Notamacropus eugenii: one gene and its partner. The protein of the gene in region 2 interacts with the protein of the main gene of each other region in a pairwise test. Links are inferred from orthologs where the notes say so. Each region holds a gene or a part of one and is shown on either strand. Other genes may lie near its edges.

Evidence for each region.
Region 1: the proteins of GOLGA2 (region 2) and RAB1B interact in a two-hybrid assay, tested with the Homo sapiens proteins (2 studies listed by BioGRID and IntAct). The link is inferred for Notamacropus eugenii from reciprocal best matches to the Homo sapiens genes GOLGA2 and RAB1B.

What each region holds. Positions count from the first base shown.
Region 1 is NC_092873.1:18,876,074-18,883,489, forward strand, and holds the start of RAB1B (ras-related protein Rab-1B), read left to right. Parts: upstream 1-4,375; 5' UTR 4,376-4,473; coding exon 4,474-4,487; intron 4,488-7,416. Other genes in the region: KLC2 (kinesin light chain 2), read left to right, coding at 517-604, 706-807, 907-1,080, 1,189-1,288, 1,396-1,445, 1,532-1,599, 1,687-1,795, 1,884-2,039 and 3 more. UniProt on the Homo sapiens protein: The small GTPases Rab are key regulators of intracellular membrane trafficking, from the formation of transport vesicles to their fusion with membranes.
Region 2 is NC_092872.1:479,583,179-479,590,997, reverse strand, and holds the start of GOLGA2 (golgin subfamily A member 2), read left to right. Parts: upstream 1-4,724; 5' UTR 4,725-4,902; coding exon 4,903-4,950; intron 4,951-6,599; coding exon 6,600-6,722; intron 6,723-7,336; coding exon 7,337-7,417; intron 7,418-7,819. UniProt on the Homo sapiens protein: Peripheral membrane component of the cis-Golgi stack that acts as a membrane skeleton that maintains the structure of the Golgi apparatus, and as a vesicle thether that facilitates vesicle fusion to the Golgi membrane.

The DNA.
Region 1 (7,416 bases), on a different chromosome or scaffold from region 2:
TGGAGTCAGGAAAACTCCATGAGTTCAAATCTAGCCTCAGCCATGTGGCTCTGGGCAAGTCACTTCACCCTGTTTGCCTCAGTTTCCTCACCTGTAAAATGAGCCGGAGAAAGAAATGGCAAACCACTCCAGTGTCTCTGCCCAAAAAAAACTCAAGTAGGGGCATGAAGGGTCAGGCAAGACTGGAAAATGACTAAATGAGAGGCAGCCTTGGATTCTGTACAAAGTAGGCTCTCCATAGGATTGACCCTACCCCAGGTGAAGAAAGGAGGGGCCGGTGTAGGTGTATGAACCTAGAAAACCCACACTGGTGCCTGAAAGCCCCTCATTGGCTCATCACTCCTCTGAGGTCAGCCTTCCTCCCCTCGAAGCCCCTCACAGAAGCTGAAAATCTCCCTGTGGCCCAGCAGGCAGAGTCCTGGCTCAAACTGGCAGCAGCCTCATTTTATAGATGGGGAGCAGGAAGTTGACCAGCAGTCCTTCCCCTGCCCCTCCCCCACCTCCTTGTCTTCTCAGTGATCAAAATAAATACAAAGAAGCTGCCCACCTGCTCAATGACGCTCTAGCCATCAGAGAGAAGACCTTGGGCAAGGACCATCCAGCTGTGAGTGAGGCCCGGCTCCCTGGGCTGGGGGTGTGGGGCGAAGAGGACCCTTGGCTGGCCAGGCCTCTGCAGCCGTTTTCCTCTCTTTGCCCTGGACCCAGGTGGCAGCTACCTTGAACAACCTGGCGGTTCTGTATGGCAAAAGGGGCAAGTACAGAGAAGCAGAGCCCTTGTGCAAACGAGCCCTGGAGATTCGAGAGAAGGTAGAACCCATCTGGGGGCCCCTGTCTCCCTGGGCCTGGGGGAGGAGCTGGGGGGGGTGCGTCAGGGCACAAGTGAAAGGAGCCTCCACCTTCTCCTAGGTGCTGGGCAAGTTCCACCCGGATGTGGCCAAGCAGCTGAACAACCTGGCCCTCCTCTGTCAGAACCAGGGCAAGGCCGAGGAGGTGGAGTACTACTACCGGCGTGCTCTGGAGATCTATGAGGCTCGGCTGGGTCCTGATGACCCCAACGTGGCCAAGACCAAGAATAACTTGGTGCCTGATCCAAGGGAGGCACTGGGGAGGGACAGCCAGGGCGCACTGTGGGCCCAGCATGGTAGGGCGGCTGGGGCCTCACTGTCTCCCTGTCTCCCCCTTCCTCAGGCCTCTTGCTATCTGAAGCAGGGGAAATACCAAGATGCAGAAACCCTGTATAAAGAGATCCTGACTCGTGCCCATGAGAAGGAATTTGGCTCAGTCAATGGCAAGTGTCCCCCCAGCCCATCCTGCCCTTTGGAAGGGGATGAACCTTTTAACCTGGTCTTGGGGCTCCAGGGCCTTGTGACAGCCCCTCCTTTCTGTCTTCCCCAGGAGACAACAAACCTATCTGGATGCACGCTGAAGAGAGGGAGGAAAGCAAGGTATGGGGAAGGAGAAACTCAGAGCTCAACTCCCCTTGGGGCTTGGCCCTTTCCTTCCCCAAGGTTTCACTTTTCCTCCCCTTCAGGAGAAGCATCAAGACGCCACCCCCTATGGAGAATATGGCAGCTGGTACAAGGCATGTAAAGTGGACAGGTGAGAGGAAAAACTGAACCCTGGGGGGTCTCGGGGGCTGGGGAGCAGAAACCGTGAGAACCCCTGGCTCATGCCCATTTTCTCCAGCCCCACGGTGAACACCACACTTCGGAGCCTCGGTGCTCTCTACCGCCGGCAAGGGAAGATGGAGGCAGCTCACACCCTGGAGGACTGTGCCACTCGCAGTAGGAAGCAGGTTGGCACAGGGCCTGGGAGGTCAGGGTAGGAGGCATCAGGGGCTTCTCAGCTTCACCCCCACCTCACCACTCTCCTCCTATAACCAGGGCCTGGACGCCATGAGCCAGACCAAGGTGGTAGAGCTGCTGAAAGATGGTGGTGGGCGAGGAGACCGCCGGAGCAGCCGAGAGGTTATTGGTGGCACAGGATCTCGAGCTGAGCCGGAGCCGGAAGATTTGGGGCCCACGGTCGAGTGGTCTGGGGTGAGGGGGCCATTGGGGATCATTGGGGGAGGTTAGGGTTAGGGTTTGGGAGGGGCAGGGACAGGAGAGCAGGCAAGCACAGCGTAGTGGTTCCTCTGCCCCCAGGATGGCAATGGTTCTCTCCGGAGAAGCGGTTCTTTTGGGAAGCTCCGAGATGCCCTGCGGCGCAGCAGTGAGATGCTGGTAAAGAAGCTGCAGGGGGGCGGCCCCCAAGAGCCTCCCAACCCCCGGTGAGAGCCCTCCCCCACCTGGCCCCCCTAGGCCTAGCCTCCCCTCAGCTGCCCCCCACTCCTGGGGATGTCAGCTCCTCCTCTCCTCCCACAGGATGAAGCGAGCCAGCTCCCTCAACTTCCTCCACAGGAGTGCAGAACAGACCAGCCAGGTGAGGAGGGCCTGCCCAGTCCATGGCACTATCACCAGGGGACCGTTTGTGACATGGGGTGCCAGGAGCCACAGTCCTGGCTGTGGGACCTTGCTCAGTTGGTCTCCTTGCCCATTGCTCTGGCTGATTCTCAGAGCCTGGTGCCACTTTGCCTTGCCTGCAGGAGATCCCTCAGCCAGCACCAACCTCTGCCCGATAAATGCTTCTCCAGGCCAACAGCCAAAGGTCTGACCGCTGCCCCAGCACCTTTTCTGCGGGGCCTTGGCCAGACATCCCCACGTCCTCCAGACCTTTCACCTGACTCGGGGTGGTTCCCACATGCAAAGACTCCAAGGACTAGCGGGAATGAGGTGGGTAGATCTTCTTCTAACCTTCCCTGTGTTTGCCCACAGTCCGACGCCAACCTGTCCGACAGCCGAGTGCTCAGCTCCAGCTCGCTTGACCTCTCTCGTCGGAGCTCTCTTGTTGGCTAAGAGGGAGGACTGGGAGGGCCTGCCCCCTCCCCAGCTCCTGGACCCTCCTTGGCTGCTCGTCATATCCCACGGGGATGGGGGGGATGCAGGGGGAGACCTGACCTCAGCTTTCCTCCTGCCCTGCTTCAGCCGCCCTTCCCCAAGGCTGTTTCCCACAGGCCCTCCTCCCCCACTGATTTTTTGTTTGATCTCAGGGTAACCTCTCCCGTGTCATTTCAGGCTTAGCAGCTAAAGGCTTATTCCCCTGCTCCCTGTCCTGTCTAGCACTGTTAGTCACACTGGGGACAGTGCAGAGAGGAGCCAGGATCCCCACCTCCTGTATTTATTTCTCTTCCCTTCCTCCCCGTGGAAGCCAGGAAAGTGAAGACCGGGCCCCTGGAGCCTCCGGCCCGGCCCACCTGGCCTTGGGGAAAGACAACACTAGGAACCTCCCCCACCCCGCTTCCCCAGGCCTCTGCTTCTGTATATAGAGAAATAAGTTATTGGCCGCTCCCTTCCCCATGCCCTGTCCGTGGTACCTTCCTTCACCCTTCCCCTTTCCTGGCCTTAAGCCCTTGCAGACAAGGTGTTGGACGCGCAAGTGCAGAAACCGGCCCCCCGTCCTTCCCACAGGGTGGGAGCCTGCCTTCTCGCCCCTGAAGCCCAGCAGCGTAGGACCCAGGCGCCCTGTCTCCGTCTATAAGAGCTGACACCGTTTTCTTAACTTTTCCCCTCTTTGTTGATCCTGGGCCTTAAAAACATGTCCTTTGAGCCACATTCCAGGGCCTTCCTGGCCCTTCCCTGCCCCCTCCCCAGGTACCACCTGCTGAGCCATTCCCGGACTCCTGCTGCTCCCAGGTCCCCCCCACCCCACCCCGGGCTCTGGGGGAGGGGACTGCAGTCCCCGCTTCGTGGCCGGGGCGGGGCGGGGAGCCCACATGCTTTGTTCAGACGTTGCTGTAGAAATAAAGACGGTTTGAATCCAGACGAGCCCAGTGTCTCAGTGGAAGCGGGGCCCTCGTGTTCGGGGGTGCGGGGGGGGGTTCGGGCAGCCGGGGGCTCGGGAACTCCATTGTCTCTGCCTTCCGTGGGGGCGGTCTGAGAATCAAACGAAGAAATACGGAGGTTTGGGTTCCAGCCCCCCCCCCCCCCCCCATTTTCACCGGAGAAACCTGAGGGTCGGGGGATTGTGGTAGGTGACGTGCTGAAAGGAAGGGGTGGAGCAGGAGATACGCGTAGGCTGAGGCTGTAGGTGCGAAGATTCTGGCTCCAATTGCCCCGGGAAAAGCCCCTTCCGATTGGGGGAGGGAGCAGGAAACTACAAATCCCAGAAGGCGGTACGGTGACGGGGGCGGTCCAAGCAAGGAGGCACGCTTGCGTCGCGGCGTCCGGCCGTCTGCGCAGTCGGGAAGGGGGAATGAAGTCAGGAGAGAACTACAAGTTCCAAGAGGCCGCGCTGTGCGACAAAGAGAAGGGAGGGCCTGCGCCTGCGCCTGCGCAGGGGGCGGAGTCTCGGGGGCGGAGCCGCCGCCATCTTGGAGCGGGAGGCGGAGCGAAGCAGACAGGGAGGGAGCGACCGACCGGGGCCGCTGCCGCCGCCATGAACCCCGAGTAGTGAGTGACCCTTGTCCGAACCCCAGCCCCTCGGACCGGGGAGGCCTCGGGCCCCGCGTCCGTGACTTGTCCCCATCCCCTCATCGGGCCCCCGCCCGGGGTCCCCGCTGCCCTTCTCCCTGACATCCGGGTTCCTGCCCTCGGTGACCCCCCCCCCTCACATCCGGGTCTTGCAGGGAGGGGGTGCTTAGCCTGGACCCCCCACGTCCCCCTAGCCTGAGCTGGGACCGAGAAGGATGCAGTCCCCGCTCTCCCTCTCTCCATCCTCTTTCTGTCCCCCCAACTCCCAGGAGTTGGGAGGGCCATGGGGGCCCTGGACTTTTCTAGGTTCAGGCCGAAGCCCCCCAAACAGACCCACGTCCCTCCGGGCCCCCCCATGTGAGCATAGCGGGAGCCCCCCTCGAATCTCGTCTCCCTCCAGCAAGGGGGCGTGATGGGGGGTGGGGGGCCGGACGCCCGGAATGCCCATCAGGCCCTCCCGGTGTGGACCTGACTTACTGGTGTCTCCAGTGTAGACAGAACTTGACTCCTCTACAGCCCCAAGTGTGGACCCGGCGCTAAAAATTGTGCCGAAGTCAACCTAAACCTCAGCAAGCATTTATTAGACGCCTACTGTGTTCCAGGCACCCAGCAGACAAACGAGATGCTCCCCTCGAGGGCCACGTAATCCCCTGGGAAGAGACACATTAAGTGAATGCCAAGCAAATTCAGAGTGATTGAGAGGGCCCTGCCCTCTGAGGACAGACCCCCAAGGCCTCCCAGCCCAGGACCCCTCCCTCCCCTCCCCCACCCAGACTCGGGGCTCAGTCCCCCTCCTCTCCCCATACCCCAGGCCGGGACCATTGCAGGACCTGTTGGTGGGGTCCATCCTCCAAACGGAGGATGCCACCAAAGGGATTTTCCTAAAGCTAGGGTCTCCCTCCCCCCCTCCCAGTCAGTTACAGAGGCTCCCTGTCACCTCCAGGATCAAATAAAAGCTGTTTGGTATTCAGAGCCTTCCTAATCAGCCCCCTGGCTCCCTTTCCAGGCCCTCCTGGCCGCTCCTCCAACAAGACCCGCCATCTCTGGACTCCGAGGCTCCAATGCTTGCCCCTCATCTCTGACCACTGACCCCCATGGCTTCCTGCAGGCCTTCCCTGGGAGGCTAGCCCCAGTGCCATCCTCTCTACATTTTGTCTACTTGGTTGTGTGGCAGGCTGTCTCCTGGGCAGGATCTAGGTTATTGTGGGCCTTCGTATTCCCACAGTTCCTGGAACACAGTAGGTGCTTAATAAACACTGCCCTGGTGAGGAAAGAGTATCCTCCAGGCTTGGGGAAGGCCTTTGCAAAGGCAGGAGAGCCATGCCAGGTTGGCAGGCTGGGGCAGCCTCGTTGGCAAGATGGAGGGAAAGGAACGAGAGGGTAAAGGAGGAAGAGGAGCTTGGAAACCTGTGCCATCCTAAACATGTGGAGAGATGAGTGTGATAGAACTGCCCTTAGGGCTGGATCATCTGTATCATGGTGATGATTGAACTCATGGGAGCTAGAGAGAGAACCAACAGGCTTTTCTATTAAGTACCATGGCCAGGCCAGAAGTGGACCAGTCCCTGCCCTGTCTGGGGGGAGCATGGATAGAGGTGTGCTCAAATGTATACAAAATGGAAATAAGGTCACCTGGGGGAAGGGTCCTGTAAAGCTTTGTGCATTAGGAGGAAAGGCCTGGGCATAGCCAGTGCAAGGTAGGGGGGAGGCTCAGAGAGGTTTGTGAGCAGGAGTAATGGGCTGAGGCTGGAAAGGGACGTGAGGGCTAGACTGGGAAAGGCTTTATTTCCAAATGATAGGAGTCTACATTTGAGCTGAGAAATATTAGGGAAGCAAGAGGGACTTAGCTTTGGCAGCTGGCTGGAGGCTGGATTGTGGTGAGGAGAAGCCGTCAGGAGGATGGTGGCCACGGCAGGGAGGGGTGTATTTAGGCCAGGACAGAGCCCTGGGGCACACTCACCAAAGAGCCATGGAAGGAGGCTAAGGAAGAGGACCATGAGAGGCTCAGAGAGTCATGTCCCTTCCTGCAAAGACCTCTGTGGCATGAGAGAGCAAAGCTGTTGGCTTGAGCAGACATGAGATGATTGTCCAGGGGTGACACCTCTGGCCAGACCCCAAGGGGTTAGGAATGACTGAATGGTAGCAGAAGGAGGGGACCAGAAGTAGATACTTCACCCTTTCTTGGAGTTTGGCTGGAAAAGGGAAGACAGAGGATGAATGTTTCCATAGGGAAAGTGAAGGAGAATCTGAGATCTGCCCCCATACTCTGGCTGCCTCAGCAGCCCCTGCCTCCTGCCCCCATCTTTACTTTCACTCCCTTTTGGGTGCCTTCACCACTTCTGAGGCTCCCAGGGCCAGGAATCTTAGTGAACTTGCCAGGGAGCTGGAGCCCTGATTGCAGCCTCTGCCCGGCTTCTTCCCCTGCTTGGTGCTGTGAACCTGGGCACACAAACAACCCCATCTTTATTTTCACTAACCTTTAAGCAATATTGAGCATCTCCCTTCATTATTTACAAATGCTGTTCTGAGAAAGGGTCTGGGGGCTTCGCTGAGCTGCCAAAGGGTCCATAACACGAGGCTACAGGCCCTGGGTCAGAGCCTTTCCTGCAGACCCTACACCACATGGAGCCTCCTCCTTTAGTACACACCAGTTTCTTCTTGTCCTTTTCAGTAGTTTTTTCTCTTATTTTTAAGTCATGATATTTTTAAAAGCTGATCTGTCCCTTCCACTAGCCCTCCCCACCATGACTCCCTCCTCCCATCCCTTCATCGTCTAAGTGCACGTGTTTGGGGGATGTTCAGCCCCTCACACAACAGCCAGACCAGGCCTCAGCTGCCCCACGGGCCATTTCCCACAGGCCTTCTGTCATTTTCTCTTTCTCACTGTCTTTCTTCGTCCATCCTTCTG
Region 2 (7,819 bases):
TATACTCAGTTGATGGAGGGAAACCAGGATGAAGATCCAGCAAAGAAAAAAATTTGGAACTACGTCTTAGAGTCCTATAAAACTGCGTATACCCTTTGACCCAGCAAAACTACTACTAGGTCTATATCCCAAAGAGATCAAAGGAAAAGGAAAAGCACTTACATGTATGAAGCTATTTACAGAAGCTTATTTTGTGGTGGCAAAGAATTGGAAATCGATGGGATGCCTATCAGTTAGGGAATGGCTAAACAAGCTGTGACATATGATTATGATGGAATACCATTGTGCTACAAGAAATTATGAAGGTGATGGTTTCAGAAAAACCTGAGAAGACTCATGTGAGCTGATGCAAAGTGAAGTGAGCAGAACTAGGAGAACATGGTACATAGTAACAGCAATATTATAATGACATTCAACTGTGAAAGACTTAGCTACCCTAAAATACAATGATCCAAGACAATTCCAAAAAACTCTCAAAGAAAAATGCTATCCACCTCCAGAGAGAACTGATGAACTCTGAATGCAAACTGAAGCATACTTTTTTCATTTTTTGGGTTTTTTTTTGCAACAAGGCTATGTTTTACATGAATTCACATGTATAATTAATACAATATTGCTTGCCTTCTCAATGGATAAGGGGGGGAGGGAGAGAACTAGGAACTCAAAATTTTAAAAAATGAATGTTTTTCTAATTTTTTAACATTTTATTTAAAGTTCTGAGTTCCAAATTCTGTCCGTCCTTCCCCTTCCTGAGGTGGTAAGCAATCAGATTTAGGCTATACATGTACAATTATGTAAAACATTTCCATATTAGTCATTTTGGACAAGCAGACTCAAATAAAATAAAATGAAAGAAAGTGAAAAATAGCATGCTTCAGTCTGCATTCAATCAATATCAGTTCCTTTCTCTGGAGGTGGATAGTATGCTTATCATTAGTCCTTTGAAATTGTCTTAGATCATTGTACTGAGGAGAATAGCTAACTCATTCACAGTTCTTCATTGAACAATATTGCTGTTACTGTGCACAGTGTGCTCCTGCTTCTGCTCACTTCATTCTGCATGAGTTCATATAGATCCTTCCAGGATTTTCTGAAATCTTCCTTTTCTTATAGCACAATAATATTCCACTACAATCACATACCACAACTTGTTTAGCCACTCCCCAATTGATGGGCATCCATCCCTTGGATTTCCAGTTCTTAGCCACCACAAAAAGAGCTGCTATAAATATTTTATACCAATAGTTCCTTTTCCCTTTTGTTGGATGTCTTTAGGATATAGACCTAGGAGTGGTACTGCTATATCAAAGGGTATGCATAGTTTTATAGCCCTTTGGGCATAGTTCCAAATTGCTCTCCAGAATGGTTGGATAAGTTCTCAACTCCACCAACGGTGTATTAGATTCCCAGTTTTCCCACATCCCCTCCAACATTCAATATAAAATATTTTTTTAAAATATATAAATATAATTATATATATAATTTTATTGTATAAATAAAATTTTTAAAAATAAAAATATTAAAACTATATGAAAAAATAGTTGAACTCCTTGGCTGAGAGGGTGGGAAAGATGGGGAGGTATGGGAGGTTTGAGGAAAGAAAATGAAACAGCCTCTGTGCAAAGAGGGACAGAGAGCATCAATTAGGGAGGAATAAAAGGATTGCTTTGCTACAGGGAGGGCCCTATTAAGATTAGATAATATAAAGTGGTAATGCATCCAGTCACCGTGGTTGCACGATATTCTCTAGTTTTGTTCAGCAGCACAAGCAGGAGTAAAAGGGGAAGGTGGTGGAAGAATACATGGTTAATTTTGGGCAAGGCATGATTGTCAACAGGACAAGGGAGCAAGGAAATCAAAATCAGAGGGCCAAAAGTAGTCAAACTGTTTAACTGTAAGATCAAAGTTGAGAAAGTACTGACCAGTGGATGGTCTAGAGGTCATTATCAGATGAAGAAGAGATTTAGGAGGAGTAAGCCATAGGGAGAGATGGAATGATAGGTTATGATAAAAGGATTATAAGGGTTTTTCATCGAGAAGGTATACATGGAGAGTATCCCTGGAGATAAATCATGGGATATAAGGATATATCAGATACTGAATAACTTGAGAATGAGCTGGGGCCAGTAAATGTTAGCCACCATGATTTTGGTTTTTAAAAATGTATCAATAAAAATAACAATCTAATCTAGCTTGTATTGAAATTACATCAAAATCAAGGTGTTATGTAATTTTTTTTAAATAGAAAAATGAGTAGGATTCAGATAGAAAGAAAGGGCAGGGCAGAGTGGAGTGAATATAGCTACAGAGGTGGGAATAAACTTAGCATTTTGCAAGGACAATAAGACCAGTATGACCAGAGCAAAAGAAGTATTTAGAAATGAGGTTAGAAAGGTAGAACAAGGTCAGATTGTAGAAAGTCTTATATACCTGGTTCAGAAGTATCAAACTGATCTTTTAGTTATTTAGGCATTACTACAGGTTTTTGAGCTAGAGGGTAATATGATGTGTTTTGGCAGAATTAACCTAGAAATGGCAGTGTGAATGATGGTTGGAGGCAAGGCTGGTAATGGTAAGAGCGAGGAGGCCAAGAGTTCATGAATGAAGTGGTCATAGGTAAGATTCAGGTAAAGGCCTGAACTGGGGTTGTATCCATGGAGATGAAAAGCTACAGGTGGGAAAAACACTACAAAGAATATACAAGATCTGATAAACATGGAGGTGATGGAGAGCGAAGGATCACAGATGCTTCTGTGTTTTCTCAAACATGGAAAATGGTAAAAGAAACAGTGAAGTCAAGAGGAAGGGGCAATTTTGACAAGGAGACACAGATCATTTTAGATGCACTGAGTGCATCTAGTGAGATGAAAGTAAGACATCCAAACGGAAAAATATCCAGGAGGCAGTTGGAAATGTAAAACTCATCTGAAAGCTCAGAATGACAGATACGGATCTGAAAGTCATCAACAGAAGTACTGATCAAACAGCAAAATAAATGACAATTGAAAACCACAAAGTAAGTTATCAACTACAGAAAGACAAAGAGAAGAACAGGGAAATGCGGAAAAGGCGCCAGAGGAACGAATACTCAAGTGGCTGAAAAAGCAGAATAGTAGTGACTTGAAGAGGCAAGAGAGAGTTCCAAGGAGTCAGGAGAGAACAGTATCAATTTTTTGCAAGTAGGTAAAGGAGAATGAAGGATAAAAAAAGGCCACTGGGTTTGCCAATTAAAAGTCACTGGACATCTAAGAAATAAGACTGCCAAGGGTTAAAGAGCAAGTGGGTAACGAAGGCAGAAGGTAGGCTTGGCAAAGAAGTGGAGGGATGTAACTAGTGGGGGCAGTAGATCAAATAAAGTTTTTTGTTTGTTTTTCCCCTCTCTCCCAAGATTGGGGAGATCCGTGTACTTAAAGGTAGAGGGGAAGCAACCAGTTGGGAGGAAAAGATTGTAGAAATTATGGAGGAAAGGCCTAAAGAAAGCAGAAGACACAAGGGGAGGTTAGCTTTGGGTGGGACTTCATCTGAGGGGTGAGGGTGAGAAAACATAGCTAGAGGCAGAAATATTTCGAGGTAGAGAATACTGGATGAAATAACATCAGATATCCTTCCTGGATCACCTTAGTCAAGTAGGAGGCAGATAAGTCATTCAATTCATCAGGTATTTATTAAACACCTACGACGACGGCATGAATCTGATACAAGCGGAAGGAGACACTGGAGGTATGAGGTAGGATAGGAAAGGCAAGGTTTGGGTAAAGTGCTAGGAAAACGTCTGCTCTGGAATCAGAGATCAAGGAATGGAGTGCTGCGCTGTAACTGAGGAGGTCCAGCAGGCTGGGGAAAGACACTGCCTGTGTGGCACAGGGCAGGGACAGGCAGCAGAGCTTGTGGCATACTCACGGGGGATCGAAAAGCTGCCGAATGCCGTTTGGAGAGTCCCAGGCGTGCCCTAGAAAGCAACCAAGGAAGAGGAGTGGTTAGGGACCCAGGGGGGTGGGAAGAGCGGAGAACCTACAAGGTTACTTGAGAGCTTGGGGACCCCCTGGGGTGAGGACGGCTGGGCAAAGGGAAACTGAATCAGGCTGTTCAGGACACGGCATTGCGGAAGGGATGGAGACCAAGCACAGGTGGAGCAGACCCTAAAGGGCAGAGGTCCCAACGGAGCTGAGGGTCTCTGGGAAGGTGCCAATGGCAGGGCTGGATCTGTGCGTTGGTTTCTTCAGAGGGGAGGCGTCTGATGGTGTTCACTGAAGGCGTCTCTTAAAGGAGGGGCCGTCATCTTAAGACGGGTTTCTGAAGCGGGTGGGATCTTTGGGGAGGGTGGGGTCTTTAGAAGGAATGACGGTGCTCATGATGGGGGGAGGGGGAAGAACAAGCATCTATTAAGCGCCCGCTAAGAGCCAGGCACCGTGCTAGGCACACTGGAAGGGGCTGAGGTCTCCAGAGCAGGGGGTTTCCGAAGAGGGTGTAGGATCTTGGGGGGGGAGAGGTCTACGATGAGTGTCGTCCCCTCCGCACCTCCGGAGGCTCGGGGTCCCGGGCTCCCCTCCCGAGGGTCTCTGCAGCGCGCGGGGCTCCAGGGCTGCCGAGGAGAAGAGCGGCGGCGGGCCTGAGGCTCGCACCCGAACCAGGACGAGCGGGCTCCCCAGGAGCCCGGAGCGTCGGCGCCAGTCGTGAGCAGACCGCGAGACGAGAGGACAGACTGTAGCCAAGTACAGAGGGGCGGGGCGGGTGACGCGGCGCAGGCGCAGACGCTGGGAAGCGCGGCGCTGTCCGACCCCGCCCTTCGCCCTCCCTATGGGAGGAGCGGGTGCGGCGCGGTGGCTGCTGGATGGAATGCCGCGGTGGTTGCCGGGATCACGGTGATGTGGCCCCCCCCGCCTTCCCCCTCCCCGGCCCGGGATGGCGGACGAGACCCGGCAGAGCAAATTGGCGGCGGCCAAAAAGAAGGTAAATGCTCTTGAGACGGCCCCTGCGCTCGGGGGCTCGGCTCCGCCCCCTCCTTTCCCGCCGCCAGGACCCTGACAGACCCCCTCCCGGATCCAGGCTCTCCTCGTTTCTCTCAGACCCCCTTCCGGATCCCTTAGATCGTCCTCCTGATTCTTCTCGGGTCTCCCCCGCCGGTGTCTGAGGGCCACCTTCTCGTGTTCCTCCTCGATCTCCTCAGGGTCCTCGTCCCCAGTCCCGCAGGTCCCCGTTCCTGAACCCCACAGGTCCCGAGCCCCGCGCCCTCCAAGACTTCCCTAAATCCCTGGCGCCCCACGCCCCTCCCCCGCAGCCCCCTTGGTGACTTTGGGCCCGTGACACTCTTTCCCTGGGCCCGACCCGTGACGTCAGGCCCAGCTGTTGGCCTCCCGGAAAGGCCTCCCCCCTTCTCACAGCTGGTGCCTGGAGGGAGATGCCCTCTGCTCGTCTCGGGGCCCCTGGAGCCTCTCGTCCCCTCTCCCACCGAAACCCAGATACCCCAGGAGGGGCCCCAAGGTGAAGGCTTGGGCACGCCAGCAGCCAGGCCTGCCCCGCCCGCTCTGTGGGAATCCGACGCCGTCCTGGACTTCCTCCCTCGGAGCCCTTCCCAAACCTCTTCCAGCCTGTTCTGCACCCTGCCCAACCCCCAGCATCGGACTCCCTTTGCCTCAGACCCAGAGTTAGGGACGGAGGGGGGGGGGTGCGCAGGTGGGGTAGGGAAAGGTGTGTGTGGAAGGACCACATATAGGGTAATATTATAGGGGAGTGGATAATTGTTTCTCTCGGAGTAACTCGTGGGGAGGACTTGGAATGAGGTTGGGCCACCATCCCCCTTCCCAAGTTGTCATTAGAACCTTCTGGCCTGGGAAATGGACGGGATTTTTTAAATGACTAACTGAGGAGGTTCTTGAGCCCCTTGAGAACACTTTCAAAAGAGTTCCAAAGACGTGGAGTGACTGCATCACTGTGTACATTCAGAGACTTAACATTGATGATAACGATGGCTAGTAAGATCCTAAATTTATCTAGTTCCTTGATTCTTATGTTCTCAAAGATTCAAAACATGCTGGAAAAGTGAATGAGAGGATTGTTTCTGCCCAGATTCTAACTCTTTTGAAAGGTCCATGGTTTTTTCTTTCAACTTTCCACCACACCCTCTTATTACCTAAATTTCTGGAACCACAATCCTTTTCATTCATTGCCCTCTGGGATAATATATGCTCACCTATTGGAGGAATGGAGAGGACTTAAAATGAGAGGAATTCTGTTAGGGTTGGGAGAGAAGTTAGTTTTGAGAGGTTAGCAAAGGACTTAAAGTTGGGACACCTGAGGCTGAGTCCGGGTTCTCACACTTAATTATCTGGGCAAGTCATTTCCCCTTTTACCAACTAGTTCTGAGGAACATGCCTTGTAAACTTTAAAGCACTTTGGAAGTATGACTTATTAAGGAAACTGAGCATCTGAGCTGTGAATCATTTCTCAGCACCTAGAGAGCCTTTGGGCAAAGTTGGAATCCAAACCTAGCTGTTTGACATGCTTTCTTCTTGAGCCCACCTCATTGTATAATTTGCACTGTCCTGGACCCTGGATCATGACCCTTGCCATTTCCAACCCTAACCTTTTCCTCTCCAAAGTTGAAGGAGTATCAACAGAAGACCAGCCCTGGTACCCCAGCAGGAGCCAAGAAAAAAAGGAAAACGAAAGATGGGAATAACCCCGAGACTCCTCCATCTGGCGACCGACACTCTCCTGAGGATGTGAGTCTTAATTAGAAACACTCCCTTGGAAAGATGGAGAAAAAGGGGTGACCTGACTCAGCTGACAGTTTTCCCCTATCCCCAGAAGAAGCGTTACAAATGAAAACGGCACCAAGCCACCTGCCCTTCCCTTTAAGACATACTAGCAAAGTCATGGTGGGAGTGAAGTCATATAATAGAAAAAGACCTGGAAATTGGAAATCAAGAAATCTAGATTCTTGTCTCATTTCTGCTACTCACTGCATGACTTGTGCAAGTCACTTCACTCCTCTGAACCTGTTTAAAAGAAGTAAAAGAGATAAACTAAGTATTCTTAGATGGCACTTCTAGCTTTATTGTTTTAGGATTTTATGATTCTGTGAACTTCTCTCCAGCTTTTCTGGATTATGTTAACATGGCCTTGCCCAAACAAGGCCAAAAGTAGATGTTAGGAAGGCTATCCCCAACCGCTGTCTATGGATTGGGTCCTTACCTTAGCCACCTTCAGTTCCCATCCTTACCCCCATTTCCTTAAGCCTGTCCCTTCCACTCTTCCCAACTCTTATCTCCTCCCTCTAAGCCACCTCTCTTTCTCTCTTCTTCCCTTTTTGTTTCTCCCTTTTCGCCTCTTGTAGATTCAGGACATTCTGAAGGTGCTGGTGTCCGACCTTAACCGTTCCAATGGGGTAGCGCTACCCACATTGGACAAGCGGAAGGTGAGACAGTGCCGAGGTCCCCTCTCACTGGCTTGCTTTCCCAGCTCTGCATGCCCCCAAGACTTCTCTGGGTTTGGGGATGACCTCCTGCTTTATTTTTCTGTTGCTGTCATTAACCCATGGTGGCCTGATTACTCCCTCATGTTCTCCTACTTTGTTAGTTTTGTTTTTCCCCTCTCCCACCCCTTTGTTATCTAGGAGGAAGTAAAATGCATTTTGTAGCTAAAGGTAGAGTCAGGAGAGTCTTCAGAAAATTTTTGGTCTGTTGGTCACTATAAAAAAAATGTAAGAAACACCCTGGGTCCCTCCTCAAACCATCTGTCCAGCTTGAGTGGGATGAAGAAGTGTTGGGATTTTGAGAATTAACAGATGTAGTTTTGTTTGGTATAAAGAAAGACAAGA